Kluyveromyces lactis: one gene and its partner. The protein of the gene in region 1 purifies or fractionates together with the protein of each later gene. This does not show direct contact. Links are inferred from orthologs where the notes say so. Each region holds a gene or a part of one and is shown in the gene's direction. Other genes may lie near its edges.

Evidence for each region.
Region 2: the proteins of NUM1 (region 1) and DBP10 purify together in Saccharomyces cerevisiae (affinity purification with mass spectrometry; 3 studies listed by BioGRID, with this or other methods). This does not show direct contact. The link is inferred for Kluyveromyces lactis from reciprocal best matches to the Saccharomyces cerevisiae genes NUM1 and DBP10.

The regions. Positions count from the first base shown.
Region 1 is NC_006040.1:1,395,960-1,412,705, forward strand, and holds NUM1 (Num1p), read left to right. Parts: upstream 1-3,953; coding exon 3,954-11,369; downstream 11,370-16,746. Other genes in the region: KGD2 (dihydrolipoyl transsuccinylase), read right to left, coding at 1-297; SLX4 (Slx4p), read left to right, coding at 1,419-3,497; KLLA0_D16588g (M28 family metallopeptidase), read left to right, coding at 11,862-14,144; putative mRNA-binding protein CTH1, read right to left, coding at 14,488-15,420; GIR2 (Gir2p), read left to right, coding at 16,431-16,746. UniProt on the Saccharomyces cerevisiae protein: Controls nuclear migration. NUM1 specifically controls the interaction of the bud neck cytoskeleton with the pre-divisional G2 nucleus. Functions in dynein-anchoring.
Region 2 is NC_006042.1:2,294,830-2,299,037, reverse strand, and holds the start of DBP10 (ATP-dependent RNA helicase DBP10), read left to right. Parts: upstream 1-1,408; coding exon 1,409-4,208. Other genes in the region: SLM3 (tRNA-5-taurinomethyluridine 2-sulfurtransferase), read right to left, coding at 1-814. UniProt on the Saccharomyces cerevisiae protein: ATP-binding RNA helicase involved in the biogenesis of 60S ribosomal subunits and is required for the normal formation of 25S and 5.8S rRNAs.

The DNA.
Region 1 (16,746 bases):
GTATTCCTTCAAAGAACCTTCAGTCAACGATTCAGCCATAGGAGGAACCGGCACAGAAGTAGCATGACGAACTGCCATGAATCTAGTGTTCAACTGAGAAGGGGAACAACGGAATTGGAATGGACCAGAAGAACGACGACTCACGGCGTTAAAAGATCCATTTCTTGAAGAGATATCGGAAGAAATTCGGCTTGAACTAAAACTTCTAACCGCTTCTAATTGTGAAACAGTAGCACAACGAACCAAAGGCTTGTGCAAAGCAGATTTAACTGCAACTCTAGTAGAACTCCTTAACATTGTTGGAATGGGACAAAACCAAAAGTGAAAAAGGATAATATATTATATTATAATCTGTGTTTGTAGATACACTCCGAGACCTGAGTATATTTCCGAATGTTATTTCTGAAGAGTAAATGGATTCAACTGACTTGAATACCTTTGCTCTATATTTGGTTTAGAAACAAAATTATCAAATGTGATAATTTATGATGATTATGATTCAAAAGAAAGAAAGAAGGAAAAATTTGGTACGAATTCAAAAAGGTTCCTTATTTTCTCAACAGGAATCAGAAAAAAGTATCTGTCTTTCTATTTAATTCAAACTGTAGTCAAAATTAGCTCAAAAACGGACCGTTTTATAAATCCTGGGGTTAAACATTCAATGTTTAAAGGCAACCTTTCAAAGAATTGAACTTTATTATCATTATTATATATATAATATATATATAATAATGGCGAAAGTGCATACAGTAGGTAATTAAAATGTGCTTACTCAAAAAACTTGGAAAATAGGGCCCTTTGGCGGAGCCAATTACCGGAATACCAGCTCGTATGAAGTGATATGACGGAGACTCGGCGCCGACCAGAACAGAAGAGCAGAGAGCACAAAGAAAGACTAAATAATCCGGTCCGGATCGTTAAGAGTGAGTGATGAAGGACGGGAGGATTGGATTTAATTGCACCGAAGGGGTCGCTCCGGGAGTCGAACTGAGGCCATAAAAAGTAAGAAGAGTTCCGGGAATAAGGAATAAGTAATAACAAGTCACGTGTAGAGTACGTTCGTATTACATTCGTATTACCCCGACTAACCCTGTTTTATTTCGTGCAATGCATGAAAAAATATCGCGTTTTCTCGATTTCTCACTGCTTCTATGCAATTTGAGGTTCATCTCTATAATTGTATTTACTATTCTTGATTTGGAATCATGCTGGCATTTATCATTATGTATCCCAAACTCTATTTCTCTCTATTTCTCTCTCTCTCTATATATATAGTACGTGTTAGTGTGTTACTGTACCAACGTATGTTTATGAGTGGCCTTGCGGTGCGTCAATTGGAAAGGACTGCTGATATACCAGGTGACTGGTATACTTGTAAGATATAGACAGAGAATTCAATAGCAAACCTCTCTTTCCTGATGCATGATGAGTTGGAAAAAGCTGGTAGGCATTTGCTGATGGTGAACGATCATTTGTCTGAAGATTCAGTGGAACAGGGTGATATTTGCATGACTCAGGTTCCTACTATGTTCAGCGATGATGAGGATCAAGATGAGGAGCAGGAGACTGAGATTCCACCGGAGGAAGGTGATGATGATATTCTGATCTCTACTCAAGTCCAAGGTGCCATAGATGAACTGAACCACCAGGAGACTGTGGTGCACACCTTCCGCAATGTTCTGTCAAGATTTGCGCTGGAAACACAAGATCAAGCGGATATTCCACTGGTGTCTTCCAAAAAAGTGCCAGTCAAGAAAGTGATAAAATCCTCAAAGGTCAAGCAGCCGACAGCACGATTGCAGAAAAGAATCAAGAGTATTACCCAGTTCAATACAGATAATTGGGAATCAAATAGAGTGAAGGATAGGGCTCAGAAGATGATTTCGATTCTTTCGGGTAAATCTGCCAAGGTTAAAAAATTGGTGTCGAAATTGGACTCGGAGGCATCTGCAGATGCGGAAAGTTTACAGGATTCTCATCCGACACAATTTGCGCCCTTTAATGAATCAGAATGGCAACATATCGTTGGCCTCCTACGAGAAAAATTACCAAAAGTTTCTAGAAGCGAGCTAAACTCGGTACAGCAATACGTATACGGTGCTGATGAACAGCACAATCTTTGGAAAGCGTCTCAGTTATCCCCAGAAAAGCAGATATCTTCTCAGTGCTCAGATGGAGAGTCTGAGACTATTCTTCCAAGTTTAACGTTGGATAACAATGCGCCTGTGTATACGTTGTCTCAACTTGTCGAAGGAGAAAGCAGTAATAACCGGTGCTCAACGGAAGATGGATTGAGGTTCAAACCGATCTCGAACCCAAGCTCTGTCATCGAACAGGAACTACCAATTAGCATAGACGTGCCTTCATCTGAGACGGATGTACCGTCTCAGATAGCCGATTCATGCGATAGCGGGTCTATCATTAGCTTTGAAGAGCTGAGTTTCATGATTCAAGACAAGAACAAGGCAGACGTCGATTACGATATACCATGCTATTTACCACCAGATTCCAAGACTTTACCCACTGGTGAGAAAACGAAAAGGGAATATTCCAGGGCAAACATAAACGATCAACTGATAAACATATCACAAACGTCTTACGATGTAGTGTCCTCCATCGTATCTCCAATGAAGGCCCAAAGAACCGGGACTATTCAGGTGCCCGCAACGAGAACTACTACCTTTCAAGACCAACAACAACAGAATCAGCAACAAGCTTCAAAACCTGCTAATGTCGTCAAGATATATGTTGATAGCAATAGGGACTCTAATGACGTTTTCGCCAGTGTTAAGGGGGAGGTAGATACGCAAGAGCAAGAAAGTTTGTCTACTTTAACTACTTCTATGTTGCATGATGATAATAACGAAATTGTTATAGATAGCGAAGATGAAAGAGGTAGCTATTCCATTATGGAGGTTCATGATGCTCCTCAAACTCATCTTGGCCAGTTCCCCTCTCTACGGAAATCTCAATCTCAAAAATTGAAAACCCCAGTTTCAGCCACAGATTCTCTAGATTCACAACTTCAGCCTGCCCTACTCACAACACAAAATGCATCTCCGAACACCGCGAAGCTACGAAGGTCTTTCAAGGTGATCGGATTAAAACCTTGTAAGAACAAAGTTCAGATGTTGCAAGTATGGGAGACATTGGAATCCAAATTCCCGGGGTCCTCAGATGAGGATAGATCAATTCAACTCAAGCAATTCCTCACGGACCTTATAGTACAAAATCGTGATGAATCTGCATTATTAATGGAACAAATATACACTTTTGAGCCTATTCGTTACGAACAGTTGAAAGAATGGCTAGTATCCTTGAACTCATTCACTGAACTAATCGACGATAGTTTTATCAAAAATTGGGCAGATTTAAACGGGATTGTATTCAGAAATGATACTGAGAACCCCTTGTTGTCACAAAGCCAATCTCAATCTCAATCACGGTTGCTCTCACAATCATTATCCCAACTGCAGTCGCCATCATTGTCTCCATAGTATGTTAGCATCCATGTGTATAATTATCAGCATTTTTTTTTCAATAGAAGCCCAAATACATGGCGTCAAAGGAACATAATAGACTCTCAATGAATACATTGGTCTGACTGCCTATTCAAAACATATACCGAATGTGAGCAAGGCTCTATCAAAGCAAGACAAGGCGAGTCAATAGCTGCATTGTTTATTGAGAAATCCGGGTAACGTTATGCAGTCAAAACAGCTCATCAAAAATTGTCAGTTTCTTTCAGATCGAACGATTCTATAAACAAAACAAACAAAACATAATCGAAAAGGAAATTGGAATCTACGCTCAGTAATCTTTGAAGCATATAGCACTGAAGTCCTTAAACTTTAGCACTGTCCTTCGGTTTTTATTCAGAACGGCAACAATTGAGTGATTTCGGGCAATTTGGAGAAGTGCGCCCCAGAAGCGACAGTAAAATCCCAGGAAATATGTCAGGAAAGGGATCTTCGCAGTCTGATAAACGGTCCAGCCGAGATGAATTGAAGTTTAAATTGAACAGGTTGCAGGAACAACAAAAACATCAAGAAGCTCTTTCTCATGTTAATTCTGAGGACCCCAGTTTACCATTTTCCAATGTCTTGAGTAAGAGAGATAATAGGGCTTCGTTACCTGTTTTTGCAGGAAGCTCTGCTCATGCAGGTGTCATAAATGCCAATTCAGGCGAGGATGTGAACTTTGTTGTTGGTTTAAGCGAGAACTTACTCGTCGAATGCAGACGCTTACAAGCACAGAACGAACGTAAGTCCGCCAAATTATCCTCTTTGCAGGCCGACTATGAAAAGTTGAAAATAAATCTTGAGCGGTTAACAGTGAAGCATGAATCTATGACCAAAAATGAGGATTCTTTAAAGGACACTAATTGGCGACAAGAAATGAAATTGCAAAGTTTATCTAAGGAGTTCCAAGAGTTGACTGAAAACTTCAATAAAAATAAAAGTGAACTTGAAAGGCAGATTGAGCTTTCTAAGGATATGAAAACTGAACTGGAGGAAAGTTCTTTGGAACGTATGGGATTAAAGTCCGAATTGGCTTCTAGTAAAAAAGTTCATTCGAATGAAATTAAGGAGCTGAAAAGACATGTGGAAGAGTTGAACAATGAGAATGATCAGCTGCATAATAAAGTTAACATGTTGAGTGAGAAGGTCACTTCATTAACAAAAGAAATAGAAGAGAGGAAAGGCACCTCTGCACAGGGCAAAGACGATACTGCGATTGCTACATCAGAACAAAAACCATCACCTGCCGTAAAACTGATCGGAGGAGGTATGGAGGGTTCCGATGATAGTTCCTTGAAGAAACCGATTGATTCAAATCTAGAAAATCAGACCTTAAAAGCCAACTTAAATCATGCTAATCAGTTAATTGTAAGATTAAAGCAGAAGCTCAACAGAGTCAAGGCTGACAGCACCATGAACTCTCCATTACCTTCAAAGTCTCCCAGAGGTAAGAATAAAGGCGGTTTATCTTTTATAGGATCTGCTTCTACTCCTCAAAAGTCCAATACTTCCAGCTTCAATTACGAAGTTACAGATAATGAATCAGGTGACTGGAATGTAATACCATCGCCTGGCAAGTCAAGTAATGCTGATATCAGTGATATTGACGCTGAAAGTTTTGTTTCGGAAACTATGGACTATGTGAGAGACCCCATTTCGGAGGGCCCCTTTGAACATGATGAAGACTTTATTAATGAACTTGACTATGAAGATATAGAAAGATACGCAAAAACGCACAATTTCGCACTTGTCCCAATTACTGAACTAGATGAATTAAAAAAATCGAAAACTCCTAGCACAATCTCAGATGACACATTATCAAAGCATATTCTTTCCAGACTTTCTACGCTAGGGTATTTTGATACTTCTAGTTTAACAAATAATGAGAAAGTGGATATAGAAGAGATTTTTAAGCATCCCACTGAGGATTATCTAGTTTCGAATCTGAAGAGGCTCAACCTCACTGCTATCAAAGAAGAAGAGTACCAATCATTGAATGATCCATCGATGGAAACTTTGAAAAAATCATTAGAAAGTAAAGACTACACTGCGTTAAGTAAAAAGGACTATGAGAATTTGCTTCATGCTTCCGAAAGTCCGTCCCTGTCATATCTCGAGAGTAAGGCTCACAAGCTTCAAAAAACCATTATCGACATTGATGAGTATGAAAATTTGAGGAAACCGGATGTTGAGGCATTAACAAACCATGCCCAGTCCAGAGGACTTCAGGTATTGAAACAGTCACAATTGACTGATATAAAAGCTAAATTGGAAAGCCCGTCTGAAGAATATTTGCAGGCCAAAGCAGATGCAAAAGGATTAACTGTACTAACGAAGAGTAAATTGTCCCAACTCACTGAACCAAGTATCGAAGACGTCCAACAGTTAGCTACCACTCACGACCATATTTTAATATCTAACAAAGATTACCATGAGCTACTGAATCCTTCTATCGATAAAGTGGAAAAAATTGCTGCAAATCACAAACTCTCGGTAATACCTGATAAGGATCTAATTGATCTGAAATGCAAAGCTGAAAGTCCAGATATTAATAGGTTGAAAGAATGTGCTAAGTCAAAAGATCATGTTCTTCTTCCAAATGAGGAGCACACCAGACTAATGCATGGAAACACTCATCCTTCAATTGAAGCTATTCAATCATCGCTTTCTAGTGACGATATGGAGTCTTTATTGCTGTGGTTGGCGGAAAGAAAGTCCATAACACCTATACGCACCACTGAGTATCACAAATTAACAGAACTAGCTAATACTCCTCCACTGGATCATCTAAAGAAAGCTGCCAAAGCTTTAGATTACACCTTGCTCAGTCAAGCTGAAATAGAGAACCTAAGAAACTTAGCTCAAAATCCTCCCTTTGAACACCTGAAAGATAAACTACTAGCTCTCAATTATACTATTATCAAACAGGAGGACCTTCATAAGTTGAAGGAACAGCTAGAATCTCCAACTTTGAACTTTTTATCGGAAAAGGCAGCAGAGAAAAACTATGATATAATCCTAAAGACTGACCACTCAGAGCTTTTGAGAAAGTCATCAGACCCGACCATCCAAGAAATGCAGCACTTGGCAGCTGTAACTGGCCACTTGATTGTATCGCAGAGTGACTACGATTATTTGAATAAGACCGTAAATGAACCATCAAGAAACTTCATCATTGAAAAGGCAAAGGATATCGGTATGGTTACTATCGAACAGAAAGAGTATGAAAAGTTAGTTCATAAGGGCAGTGATAAAACAATGTTACTCGAATCTATTAAGAATTTTGGATTTGTTCCAGTCACTGCGCCAGATTTCAATTCCTTTAAACAAAAGTCAATCGACAATGTTGACATCGACCAATTAACTAACAGATTGGAAACATTGGGTTACGTTGCAGTTTCAAAAGAAGGATACTCAAAATTAATGGCTCCCGTTATAGATAAAGTAACTAAAGATGAAACTTTTAAACTCTGTGACAAATACAATCTAAAGCCTGTTGCTGCTGAAGCATACCAGAAATTACAGGAAAGCTCGAAAGTTGCACTACTTTCAGAGGATGAATTGATTAAGAAAGTCAAGGAACATGGTCATGTGGTCTTAGATAGTAAGTCTTACGAAGATTTGATAAACAAATCAAACAATCCACAACTAAAAGATTTATCCAGACACCTCTCAACCTATAAAATGGTTCCCGTACAGCTGAACGAATATGAAAATCTAATGGCTATGAAAGACTCTCCCTCATTGACGTTTTTGAAGGAGAAGGCTAAACTTCATCATCAAACTATGTTACCATTCGATGAACTGGAGGGCTTGAAATCGAAATTAGAGCACCCATCTAGAGAATATTTAGAAAACATGGCTGGAACTCTTGGACTCGCCCTGTTACCAATTGAATCTATTGAAGAGCTCAAGACCTCATATGAAAATCCTTCTATTGCACACTTATCAAATAGGGCAAGCAATATTGGCAAACGTTTGATCGATCAACAGAAATATGACAATTTGCAAAGAAAAACAAACGAACCTACGGTGAAAGAAGTGGAACAACTGGCTGCTAGAATTGAATGCAAGGTTCTACCAACTGTCGAGTACGAAGAGCTACAGCTCGCAATCAATAACCCTTCAATCAAAAGATCAAAGGAGGTTTGCGACATCAATGGGTATAGCGTAGTTCCCACGAAAAAGTTCAATGAACTTCAACTTAACTTGACTAGTCCATCTTTAGAATTCTTGCAAGAAAAAGCGCAGCAACACAAACAAGTTTTACTACCGATTGAAGAACATAATAAGTTACAAATGTCAGCAGTTACTGACGAGCAGGGTTTACAGAGAAGTGCGAGAAGTCTCGGACTTGTAGTTGTTCCGGAAGCTGATTATGATTCTTTGTCCAATCCTTCCCTGCACATCCTACAAAAGCAAATAACAGAAAAAGGTCATGTGGTACTTGATGCTGAGACCTACAAAAGTCTCAATTCCTCAAATGTTGATTCAATTTCCAAACAGGAGGTGATAGGTCTGTGTTCAAAGTTCGATTTGATTCCTCTACCTGAAAAACACTATAAGGAGTTAACAGTTCCTTCGATAGAGAAAGTAAAACAGCTAGTCGAACCATTAGCGCTAACTGTTATTGACCGTGAGGAATTGGCTTTCTTGAAGACCCAAGTTGATAATCCATCTGAAGAATCAGTTGTAGCGACCGCGCCAAAATACGGGTACAAGCTCCTGGGTGACAAGGAATATGAGAATTTACAAAACGAGGCCAAAAAACTCTCTTCTCTCACCAAAATTGATATTGAAAAACTTGCAGCGAAATTGGGTCTTGTTGTTCTTAGTGAAGAATCATACGATGCTCTTATTGAAAAACTGAAAAAAGAGGTTGAAGTTTCTTCAATGTCACCAAGATCGAAAGTCGCAGCAAGCAAGCTATATTTCGAAAATGTTATCAAGAAAGAGAATTCAAATAAAGAGGTGGTATTAGAATCAGGAAAGTTATTAGGATTTGTAAGACTTTCAAACGATGAGTACAAAAGGCTTCTCGAGAATCAACAAAAGCACGAATTAACAAAGACGGATATTTATAATGGGGCAAAAGCCTTTGATCTCACTGTTCTTCCCTCCGAAGAATATAATAACTTATTACAAAGAAAGGCGCATAGTGATAATATTACATATGACGATTTACAGTTGTATGCTTCACGTTTTGCTTTGAAGTTGGTCCCTGTTAATTTCACAGATGAAGAACTCGAGAAACATAATAATCAACGTGTCGGCGATTATGGCTCTAGGCCTGCATTAAATCTCCATCCCTCTGTGAACCATTCCACTGTTAGTTTCAATTCTGTAAGCACAGGTGACACTGATTATTATGATGCGCTACAAAGTAGCAGCTCCTTCAACCTCAGAAACAGCCCTTCGAAGTCAAGCATGCATACATCTTCCACTCATTATACCGATGCCAATGATTTCCTTGGTTCTGATAATGATAATGTTTCACTGGCATCAACGATAAAAGATAATGAACCGACATTGGAGGACTTGCAAAGACATGCAGAAGTTTTAGGTTACAACCTTATTGAAAAGGATATCGATTGTCATCAAAATCATTACTCTACATCATTGACACCTGAAGATTTGACAAAGGATATCATTTACTCTGCTGCACCGCAATTCGGATTATCTGTGGTGCCAACTGAGGAATTTATAGAGATGGAGAAACTTATCACTTCAGAGAGGTTAACACCAGATTCTATTCGTGAGAGTGCGAAGAAGTATGGCTTAATAGTTTTAACTGAAGCTGAACATTCTCAACTTGTTAAAAAATCTACTCAATTGATCGCGCCAGCTCCAATAATCTCAACAGAAACAATTAAACAGAAAGCTAGAGAACATGGCCTCGTACCAGTAGCAACAAATGACTACCTGAAGCTTATCAAACCTGATAGTGCTGATGATATCAAGGAAAAAGCGTCAAAGCTGGGTATTGTCACATTAGCCGAAGAAGACTACAAGGAAATTAAAAAGCCTTTGACTCGCGAGCTACTGGAAGCAAGGGCCAAAGAACTAGAACTCGTCACGCTACCAGTTTTAGAATACAGTGCCCTCAAAAAACCGTTGACAGTTACAGACATAAAACAGAAATGTGAAGATTGGGGTTTAGTTCCTATAGAAAAAGACATATATGAAGACCTTTTGAACAAGTTCAACGATGACTCTGTCAGTGAATGGGCGAAAGAACATGGGAAAGTTATTGTCTCGAAAGACGAATATGACCATCTGTTGGAAGTCGAGGATCAAGCGGCTTCTGTTGCAATGACTAGGGATGAGTTGATAGAAAGAGCCCATGAGCTCAACATTATACCGATTGATGCTGACAAATTTGAAGAAATACAACGCGAATTAGCTTCCTCCGGCAGAAACAGTATGACGGAGGACGACGTTGTTTTGAAAGCTAAAGAATTAGGATTTGTGCCTATCCCAGTGTCCCAGTATGATCCAAATACCGCGATTGGTATTTCTAAAGACGATCTCATGATACGCGCACGAGATCTTGGTCTTGTTCCCATTCCTATTGAGCAGTTTGAACAGATTAAGAAAGAATTGGAGACGCCAACCTTGACCAGGGAACAAATAGTTGAGCATGCCGCTGATTTCAATTTGATAGCTTTAGATTTAACGGAGTACAAACGTTTGAAGAAGGGTTCGTATTTGATGGATAACGACAATGACACTGATTCTGAAGAAGATGAAGAGGAAGAAGAAGACGCAGAGGTCGTTGACTCTGAGATAAAACAATTAAACAAAGCTGCTAAGAGATTTGGCTTACTATGTATTCCAGAAAGCGCATTTGTCGCCACATCCAATGCAAATACTCCAGATGTCCATAATGTTGTTGTGTTGCCGATCAAATATTATAATTCTCTATTACATCAAGAGTCTGAAAATTGGGCGAAGATTACTGATGAGAATTTGCAAGCGGAAGCCAAGAAGCGTGGTTTCCAAGTTGTCGTTAATTTGAGAAAGGACTTTGGCGATGGCTTTACTCAGGGGCATAGAAGAAATTCTTCATTGGCGACTCGGTCTGTCATTTCAGAGGATGCTAGAAGATCCATGTCAGAAGCTGCTGCTAATGCTGCAATGAGCGAAATGGAGCAACAGACCAGATCCAGAGCCCCATCAAGATCTTCTTCAATCAAACGTCCGTCGCCTTCACTTCAAACTAATCAAGCATCACTGCTTACACACAGCGAGTCTATGGCTACTGGTTTATCTTTAGCTACAATGGCGTCCCTCAGCGCTCCAAGTATCATCCCAGCATTGACCCAAACTATGATTGGTGAATACTTGCACAAGTACTATCGTCGTTTAGGTGGATCTCTGTTCCAATCTTCACGTCATGAAAGATACTTCTGGGTTCATCCTTACACTTTAACCTTGTATTGGTCTACGTCCAATCCTGTGCTTGAGAACCCAGGGAACAACAAAACCAGAGCGGCAGCTATTATGGGTGTAGAGAGCGTCGACGATCCATGTCCTTTCCCCGCTGGTTTGTACCAAAAAAGTATCATCGTGAAAACAGAAGGCCGTGATATTAAGTTGACATGTGCTACCAGACAAAGACATAATATTTGGTTCAATTCTCTACGTTACCTACTTCAAAGAAATCTTGACGGGATTAACTTAGATGACATGCTTAGAGACGACAACAATGTTGATTCAAATACTATCTACCAGTTGCCAGGAGAAAGTTCTCAAACTGCAACCAGAAGGTTATCTTCAACAAGAAGGGCTAGTTCTTCGTCTTACGTGAAAAGATCAACTTCGAAATGGTCTTTGCGTGCAAATTGATACACTGCTAACAGATACGTTTCAATTTCGATTCCTATATTAGGTATATAAGATAGTGTAGTTTGAGCAGCCTAGGATTATCGATTGGCTAAAGAAGACAATTTAATTCCTTTCATTCTATTATCGATCATTGAACTGATCTGCAAACAAGAAAATCTCGGTGATACTATCCTAATAAGGTATGTCCTCAACGAGAAGTAGAAACATGGAAAAAAATGGTCTCAACAAACTTCAATACCAATGATATGCCAAAGTACGACAGAATACCTTATCTAATCCACCCTAAGTATTTACATTGCCCTTTTGCTTCTTGATATTGCTTGTCTTTGCAGCCAAATCCCGAAATTATAGCAAAACCCTAAAAAACAAACGGCGTTACTCAGCAACCATGTTGAATGGTTACGGCTTACATATAAGAAGAAGAAGGTAATTTGGAAACTATTGCCAGAGCCAGCACCTAAGGAATCGCATCACCACTTAGACCTTCAAAAAATGACGGCCAAGAGTCCCGAGGAGTATCCTGCGGACATCAAGCATGATTTGAACGATATTGAAGCTCAAAAGTCTGTCCCTTCAAAAAGAACATGGATTAAGAAAGCTCTTTCATTATCATTCCAAGTGGGTCTTTTCTGCTACCTTTTGGTTAATATTTTAAGCTATAGCTTTTCTTCATCTTCTCATAGGGATAGGTCTCAGGCAACGGCCACTGAGCTTGCTTATTTGAAGACATTAGACGACAGCAATCTTGCGGGAAACTGGTCAGAGAAATTGACTTCAGTTCCTCACTTAGCTGGTAAAGGTATCGAGTTAGTGAATTGGACTGCATCCAAGTTCGAAGAGTATGGATTAAAGACAGAAGTGGAAGCTTTTGATATTTACATGAACTATCCAGTGGATAATGGTTTAACTTTATTGCAAGAGGATGAACCAGTTTTCAAGGCTAATTTGACAGAAGACCATTTACCAGAAGATTCAACTACTGGGGGTGATGATTTGGTTCCAGCTTTCCATGGGTACTCTGCATCTGGTAATGTGACTGCTGAATTCGTTTATGTCAATTACGGCTCCAAGGAAGATTTTGAATTGTTGGAAGAGCATGGTGTTCCATTAAAGGGCAAGATCGCAATCGTAAGGTATGGCAGAATTTTCCGTGGTCTAAAGGTCAAGTTCGCCCAAGACGCTGGGTGTGTTGGTGTCTTGATTTATTCCGACCCTGGTGATGACTTCTTCCAAGAGGCTAAAGGTGATAAACCATATCCAAAGGGACCAGCTAGAAACCCATCTTCATTACAGCGTGGATCTGTACAATTCCTGTCTCAGTTCCCAGGTGATCCAACTACTCCAGGTAGACCATCTCAGGGTGATGATGTTGTCCGTGATGATCCTTACAAATCGATACCAAAGATCCCCTCATTGCCCATCTCTTTCAAAGAAGTTAAGCCTATATTAGAGAAATTAAACGGTCATGGTGTGAAAGGTTCTTCAATTGGCGGTGACCACTGGGTTGGGAACCTTCCTGGCTTCGAATACTGGACTGGTCCGAACTCAAAATACTCCTTAAATTTGTACAATGAACAAAAGTATGATATCGTTCCGATTCACAATGTCTATGGTATATTAGAAGGTTATGATTCGAAAAGTGGATATATTCTTGTTGGTAACCATAGAGATGCATGGATTAAAGGTGGTGCTTCTGACCCCAACAGTGGTACTGCTGCTATGCTTGAAATGGCCAGGTCTCTTCATGAATTGACAAAGAATGGCTGGAAACCAAGAAGGACTATTAAGTTTGCCTCATGGGATGGTGAAGAGTACGCTTTGCTTGGGTCCACTGAATTTGGGGAAAAAAATGCCAATGAATTGAAGAAGAACTTACTTGCTTATTTGAATGTAGACGTGGCCGTGGGTGGTAGACAACTAAAGATAGCTTCATCGCCATTCTTAAATAAGGCTATCAAGGAAGCTTTGCCACTAATTGAATATCCATTAGAAGAAAATGTCACACTTCATGATCATTTTTTTAACCACACTAACATTGGCATCTTAGGTTCTGGATCCGATTACACTGTTTTCTTGGAACATTTGGGTATCGCCTCTTTAGATCTTGGATTTAGCGCTACCGCAAAAGATCCTGTCTATCACTATCATTCGAATTATGATTCGTTCCATTGGATGGCTACCATGCAAGATCCAGGATTCAAGCTACACAATGCTGTCGCCAAACTATTTGGTACCATTGCCTTGAGATTATCCGAAGATAAGATAATAAATTCCAAGGTCTCGGACTACTCAACTGAGTTAACTAAATACTACAAACACATCCAAGAAAGCGTTCCAGAACAGTGGTTAAATATTACTAACCACAGAGGTACCCCATTGAGTAAGCTGATCCATAAAACAAGCAAGAAATTGGACAAACTTGTATCATCTGCCGACTATTTTGATGAGTACTTAACTGATCTAAACAAACAATGGGAAGATAAGAACTCTCTACCATGGTGGAGGCGCATAAAGTTGCATTTCCAGATTGTACACGTGAATTTCAAATTGTTCTACCTTGAGAGAAACTTCCTACACGAAGAAGGTTTGAAAGGCAGACCATGGTTCAAACACGTGGTCTTTGCATCTGGTAAGAATACTGGTTATGAAGGGTTTGCCTTACCAGGTTTGAAGGAAGCCTTAGACGACAAAGATGTCAAGGATTTCATTCATTGGAACAAAATATTCCTGCACACGATCAAGAGGTTAGCTCATGAATTCGACCTCAAGAAATAAGTAGATACTGTTTCTGAATCACATGAAAATACGCTTACAAGACCTATGCTGGTGCATAGGCACTATTGCTCTTAATAATTAAAACTGCAGTGAAGCGCTGAAATTAAGACATTACTTGTGTACGCATTGAAGAAGGGAAGACGTGCTAACGTATGAGGAAAATAGTTAAAATAATAAATAAATAATAATCAAATTAAATAACCAGTATTCAAAGTGAGATAAAAATACGGGGCGACCGCCGGTTAGTTTAACGTTTGCGAGAGGATAAAGTTGAAATGCCAGTTACATGATTCTTTGTTGCATCAAGCAACAAAAAGTGAAGCAAAGACTGATAAAAGAGAAATCACCAAGTCATCTTTTGCAATGCCTTAACATCAGCATGTAAGTTCTTTCTGATAGGTTCATCTTCAATTTTCTTAATCATATTAACTTTCATGTAGACTTGAATATCCTCATCGTCACCGTGTTTGAAGCAACAACGCTTACCGTAACGACAGTAGCCGTATTTTTGCCAGTTAACACATGGCTTTGTCCTAAAGTTGTTTGAACGCTCCTTTATTTTCAACTCGTGCAAACCATGAGCAAATTGACACTTGTTGCCGTACTTACAGGTTCCCTTGGTAGCGAACGATTCACAAAGCTCAGTCTTGTACAATTGCTTGTTAACCCTTTCTGGCTGCTGCTGCTGCTGTTGTTGCTGTTGTTGCTGAGAGACCTGAGGGTGATTATGACCACAATTTTCAGTGTGAACATGTTCAGTTGGAGCCTGCGCTTGAGCATGGACCACTGGTTCAGCTGGAGTTTCTTGGATTATGCGTAAGTTCTCGCTGGTCAATGGCATAATACCGTTGGCTGGACGGTATTGAGAGTTAATTTCGACTTCCAACGAAGGTTCCTTAGGATGGACCTTTTGAGGCCATGGGTCCTGGTACTCAAAAATAGGTCTTTGGAACCACTGCTGCTGCTGCTGCTGATATTGCTGAGCAACTTGAGATTGGGCTAATTCCTTGTTTTGAGATTGAGGAACAGTACCGAAAGAAGAACGCGAGAAAAGGTTTGGTAACTGCTGGTACTGGAACTGAGGCTGCAATTGTTGTTGCTGTTGCTTCGACAATCCATCGTCACCCGCATCATCATTCAACAGAGTCTTGATGTAGTACTCTTCGATCTCGCGAATTCTAGCATCGTAATCTTCATTTTCGTTCGAAAACACAGACGAAGTCTGTGTTGAACGAGACGAAATGCTAGCACTATGGTTGTAATTGGTATAATTCATTGATGATAATATATATACTTAGATGGCAGAATTCTTGTCTTCGAGCAATATTTCGTCAATTAATACCACCAAAAGTGTTGCTAAAATGCCTTACTTTTTAAACTACAAAGGAGCCAAGATAACAAGAATGGTAATCCAATTATAACTCTCCAAGCGATGTGACAATACCTAGGTTATATATATATATATATACGTCTGTAAACCTTTAGTGATACCTGTCGTTGTTAAGTCTGACTGACACCCAGAAACTCACAAGAATGGGAAATCTGGGTGCTCTTAAATATGACAACCCTCAGAATTGCCCGTACAAATGCAGGTCATTGAACCATATTAAAAGGCTTTTTGCTCAGTGAAAGCAGGCCAGACGAGTCTTAATCCATTTTTCAAGGTGCACCGTGCGAAGTGACTGCACCTCGAAACTGGAATTTTTCCGTATCGAAATCCGGAACGGCTGTGTTGAGGATATTACCCGGACACAGAAGAATGCGACACCCGGAAAACGGAAGTTTTGAGGAGAAAATGTAATGCACGTGATTAACAATCAAAGGTTTCTGGCTGATTTCCTCTAGTTTCTCCACTAGTTTTGGGTGTGTGTATGAAAAATGAGATAGGACTGGAACCGGTATATTTTATTTCTTTTTGTTCCTAGAGGGGTCTTGTGGGTTTTCTAGGAGACAGAGAGGCTCACCTCTTTTGGCTGCGCCAAGCATTTATTTCCGCCAGTTTCCTTTAGGTAGTAATCGGGTTTTTGCATGACTGAGTTTTTAATCCACGTGATAGAAAATGAAGAGGGTACATTCTGTATCCGGGTAATGTTGTATCTGTTTTAGCACACTTCTCACTCTGTCAGATTTTTCAAGCATCATCATCATTATCATTGTCAAGTTGAAATTTGTACGGCCAGTCCAGTTATATGCAGAGGAAGCGTGTTACGAAATGTACTGAATACACATTTTGAGAGTTTACCTAATTGTTTCTATACGCCCTAACCCCTTCCAGTTAACTACACAATGGACTATAAAGAAGAACAGACGCAGGAACTTGAGATTCTAGAGTCGATCTATCCAGATGAATTTACTGTTCTGAACTCTGAGTACCCAGAGATCGAATTACAAATTGATATCAAATTGGACCCCGTACCCTTGGATGATTCTTCATACACCGTGGATTCGATAACTAATGATCATATTTTGCATACTATTTTTACTCTACCAGAAAATTACCCCGATGAAGCACCTCTAATTAAGATTATGCCGGAAGAAGTGCCAAAATTCGACAGAGATGATGAAGATGTGGATGACGAGGACGATGAAGATAAGGACGAAA
Region 2 (4,208 bases), on another chromosome or scaffold:
CCCACACCGTCTTCTTACCAGTCAGCTCATCGATGGTAATGATGTTTCCTAGTTCCATAGGTAGATATTCTTTTAGGAAATTCTTAAACTTCCCATGCTGTGAGTTGTTCACAAAACATATACCCTGAGAGTCGGGTTTTGTGGCAGTGTGTAAATCTACTTCTTTGGCCATCTCTCTAACTTCCGGTTTCGTCAAGTGACCAATTGGTAAAATCATTTGATTTAAAGAAGGAACAGAAACTTGTGATAAATAATAACTTTGATCCTTCTGTTGATACAATCCGCGCATCAAGTGTGGTTCAGATCTCTCTGGACCACTATCTCTTCGTAGTATTCGAGCATAATGTCCCATCACCAACCAGTAGTTGTTCTTACCGAACTTCACATCCAGATGATCCATCAACTTTCCGAATTTAACAAACTGATTGCAACCGATGTCAGGATTTGGTGTATAGCCCATACTATATTGTTCTAACATAGGCGCGAACACATTTAGCCAATAATCTTTCTCAAAATTCACAAACTCCACTGGGATGTTCAAATGTTTCGCTACTTTTTCTGCATCCTTCCATTCTTTCTCATAACATGGATCCTCCTCTGGTCTAGTCAATGATTGATCTTTGCCCCAATTTTGCATATATACTCCATGAACGTTCGGGTAAGCTGCGAATAATGCAGCACATACAGAAGAATCTACTCCACCAGACATTCCTACCACAATATTATCAAATTTAGATGGCATGGATTGGACATGATATCCAGGCAACCGTCTTTGTTTGCATAATTCTAAGAATCTTGAAGTGATTTTCGACATTATTCCTCGCAACTTCTGTCCGTCTGCTATATAAAGTGGTGCATCTCCTTCGGGACACTTTTATGGTGCTTTAACAAGATATAGCTGGTACTTATTTCAGTAAACCTTGAGAAGTTATAGTTGTGATCTTCATGTACTTTTTTTTGTCAGATACTGAATTGATTGGCTTGCATAGAAAAAAAAAAACCAAGATAATGTACAGAGGCGAAATTCAGGGAAACAAGTTGAAATAGTTATAGTAAAATTTTAGAGTATGACGTTCTATTTACTTGAGTTTGGTAATATTCGTGACACATAATGTTGAAGTTTTTGTTTTAGGTCACTTGATCTTCTTGGTTTCACACAAAGCGTCAGTTTGATGTTTAATTCTGTTTATGCCGGTCTTGAAAACTATTTCTTTTTCCTTATGAAAATTTTGAAAATACATCACTTTCCAAATAAGAGATGCGATGAGATGAGATGAGATGAGATAGTAACTCATTAATATCAGTAGTGCTAAATATTCTTTTATATCGTATTGATTATAAGGCCAATCATTGTTTGCCATAAATCAACTGTTAGATATCGAACTCAGGTTAATCAAATTTAACAGTAATGGTTGATTCTAGCAAAAGAGCTCTCCCAGCAGAAGATTACTCCTCCGAAGATGAGGATGCTTTCGACATTGCTGGTGATATTGCTTTAAATGCTGATAGTGAAGATAGTGACATTTCTGATGATGATAATGACAATATTGGTTTCCAAGCTGAAGTTCAAGATGTTATCGAGTTTTCTAGTGATGAGGAAGAGAAAGAGAAGAAACCAAAGAAACAAAACAAGAAAGCCAAAGTCAAGGCAGGTCCCATTGTGGACAGTAAGTTCCCAAGTCTTGAGCTTTCGGACGACGAAAAGAAGGCTACGAATGAATCGGATGATGACTTAAACGATTATTTCAACACTACCGCTGATGCTGCGGCTAAACATAAGAAAGGTTCGTTTGCAAGTTTCGGTCTCTCAAAACTAGTATTGATTAATATCTCGAAGAAAGGTTTCAGGCAACCTACACCAATTCAAAGGAAAACCATTCCCCTTATTTTACAAAAGCGTGATATTGTCGGTATGGCACGTACCGGTTCAGGTAAGACTGCTGCTTTTGTGCTTCCTATGATAGAAAAATTAAAGACCCATTCGGCCAAGATTGGTGTTAGAGCCGTTATTTTATCACCATCAAGAGAATTGGCCATTCAAACTCATAGAGTTTTCAAAGAGTTTTCGAAAGGCTCGGATTTACGTTCTATTTTGTTAACAGGTGGTGACTCTTTAGAAGACCAATTCGGTATGATGATGGGGAATCCTGACGTCGTCATTGCTACGCCAGGTAGATTCTTGCATTTAAAAGTTGAAATGAACTTGGATTTGAAATCAGTCGAATATGTTGTATTTGATGAAGCTGATAGATTATTCGAAATGGGTTTCCAGGAACAACTGAATGAACTGCTTGTGGCATTCCCAACTAATAGACAAACATTATTGTTTTCGGCAACATTGCCATCATCATTGGTTGATTTTGCTAAGGCAGGCTTGTCAAACCCAGTATTGGTTAGACTTGATGCTGAAACGAAGATATCAGAAAATTTGGAGATGTTATTTATATCTATAAAAAAGGATGAACGTGAAGCCAATCTATTATATCTGTTACAAGAAGCTATCAAGATGCCTGTTGCCACGGAGTCCCAAATAAAGAAGCTCAAACAGCAGAATGATGCGGATTCTGACAGTGATGACAGCGAAGATGAAAAGAAAAAGAAGGCAAAGAAGGCTAAAAAATCCAAAAGGCGCTTACCGAATGCGAACGAAATGCCATCCGAAAAGGCAACAATCGTTTTCGTTCCAACAAGACATCATGTCGAATACGTCACACAGTTATTGAAGAACTGTGGATACCTAGTATCATATATTTATGGTGCTTTGAATCAACATGCCCGTAAGCAACAGCTCTATAATTTTAGAGCTGGTTTAACATCTATCTTGGTTGTGACAGATGTGGCAGCCAGAGGTGTTGACATTCCTTTGTTAGCGAATGTGATTAATTACTCTTTGCCAGGTTCTTCAAAAATTTTCATTCATCGTGTAGGTAGAACGGCCAGAGCTGGTAATAGAGGTTGGGCCTTTTCGATTGTCTCTGAAAATGAACTACCTTATCTCTTGGATCTAGAATTATTCTTGGGTAAGAAGATCCTTTTAACACCCATGTATGAATCGTCGTGCCAGATACTCAGAAAGAAGGCAGAATCTGAGGGTAATAATAATTTCACCGATCCTAAGGTTTCTTACACCACAAGAATGGTCCTTGGTGCTTGTCCACGTTCTGAGATTGATGGTATGGGTGACCTTTATAGCAATATGATCAAATCTGACTTTGAGTTAAATACTGTGAAAGGTGTTGCCCTGAAAGCCGAAAAACTTTACTTTAGAACCAGGACACCAGCGTCTGCTGAATCCATGAAAAGGTCAAAGGAAATTCTCAGATCAGGATGGGACGAACAGAATATATACTTCGGTAAGAACGCCGAAAAAGAGAAATTGGATTTCTTAGCTAAGTTGCAACACAGAAATAACAAGGAAACTGTATTCGAGTTCGCAAGGAATCCAGACGATGAAATGTCTGTGTTAATGAAGAGAAGGAGGAGACAAATAGCTCCAATTCAAAGGAAGGCAAAAGAAAGACAAGAACTTCTGGAAAAAGAGAGAATGATTGGTTTGAGGCATAGTATAGAAGATGAAATTTTGAAAGGTGAAGACAACGAAGTTGGTTACTCAGTGCCTGATGAGGTATTGAAAGAATTTGAAGATGCCGATGTCTTGTTAGAAGAGCAAGAAAATATTAAGAAGAAGCAGAAGAAAACTTTCAGAGATCCAACTTTTTATCTATCACATTTCGCACCAACTAGTGACATTCAAGATAAACAATTACAGATATCATCTGGTTTCACAAATGATGCTTCCAATGCTGCATTTGATCTAGCCAACGATGACAAGGTACAAGTTCACAAGCAAACAGCTACGGTTAAGTGGGACAAGAAGCGTAAGAAATATGTGAACACTCAAGGTTTGGACAACAAAAAGTACATCATCGGAGAAAGTGGTCAAAAGATTCCTGCAAGTTTCAGATCCGGAAAATTCCAAGATTGGTCTAAGGCAAGAAAAATTGCTCCACTCAAAGTTGGTGCAAGAGAATCCACTATTCCATCGAATCTATTGGCTGATCCGACTTCTCCATCGGAGCGTACGGTTGGCGGTAAATTCAAACACAAGACTCAAAAAGCTCCTAAATTGCCTGATAAACATAGAGACGATTACGCTTTCCAAAAGAAAAAAGTGGAAGCTGCTTTGGAAAGAGGTGTTAGAGTTAAGG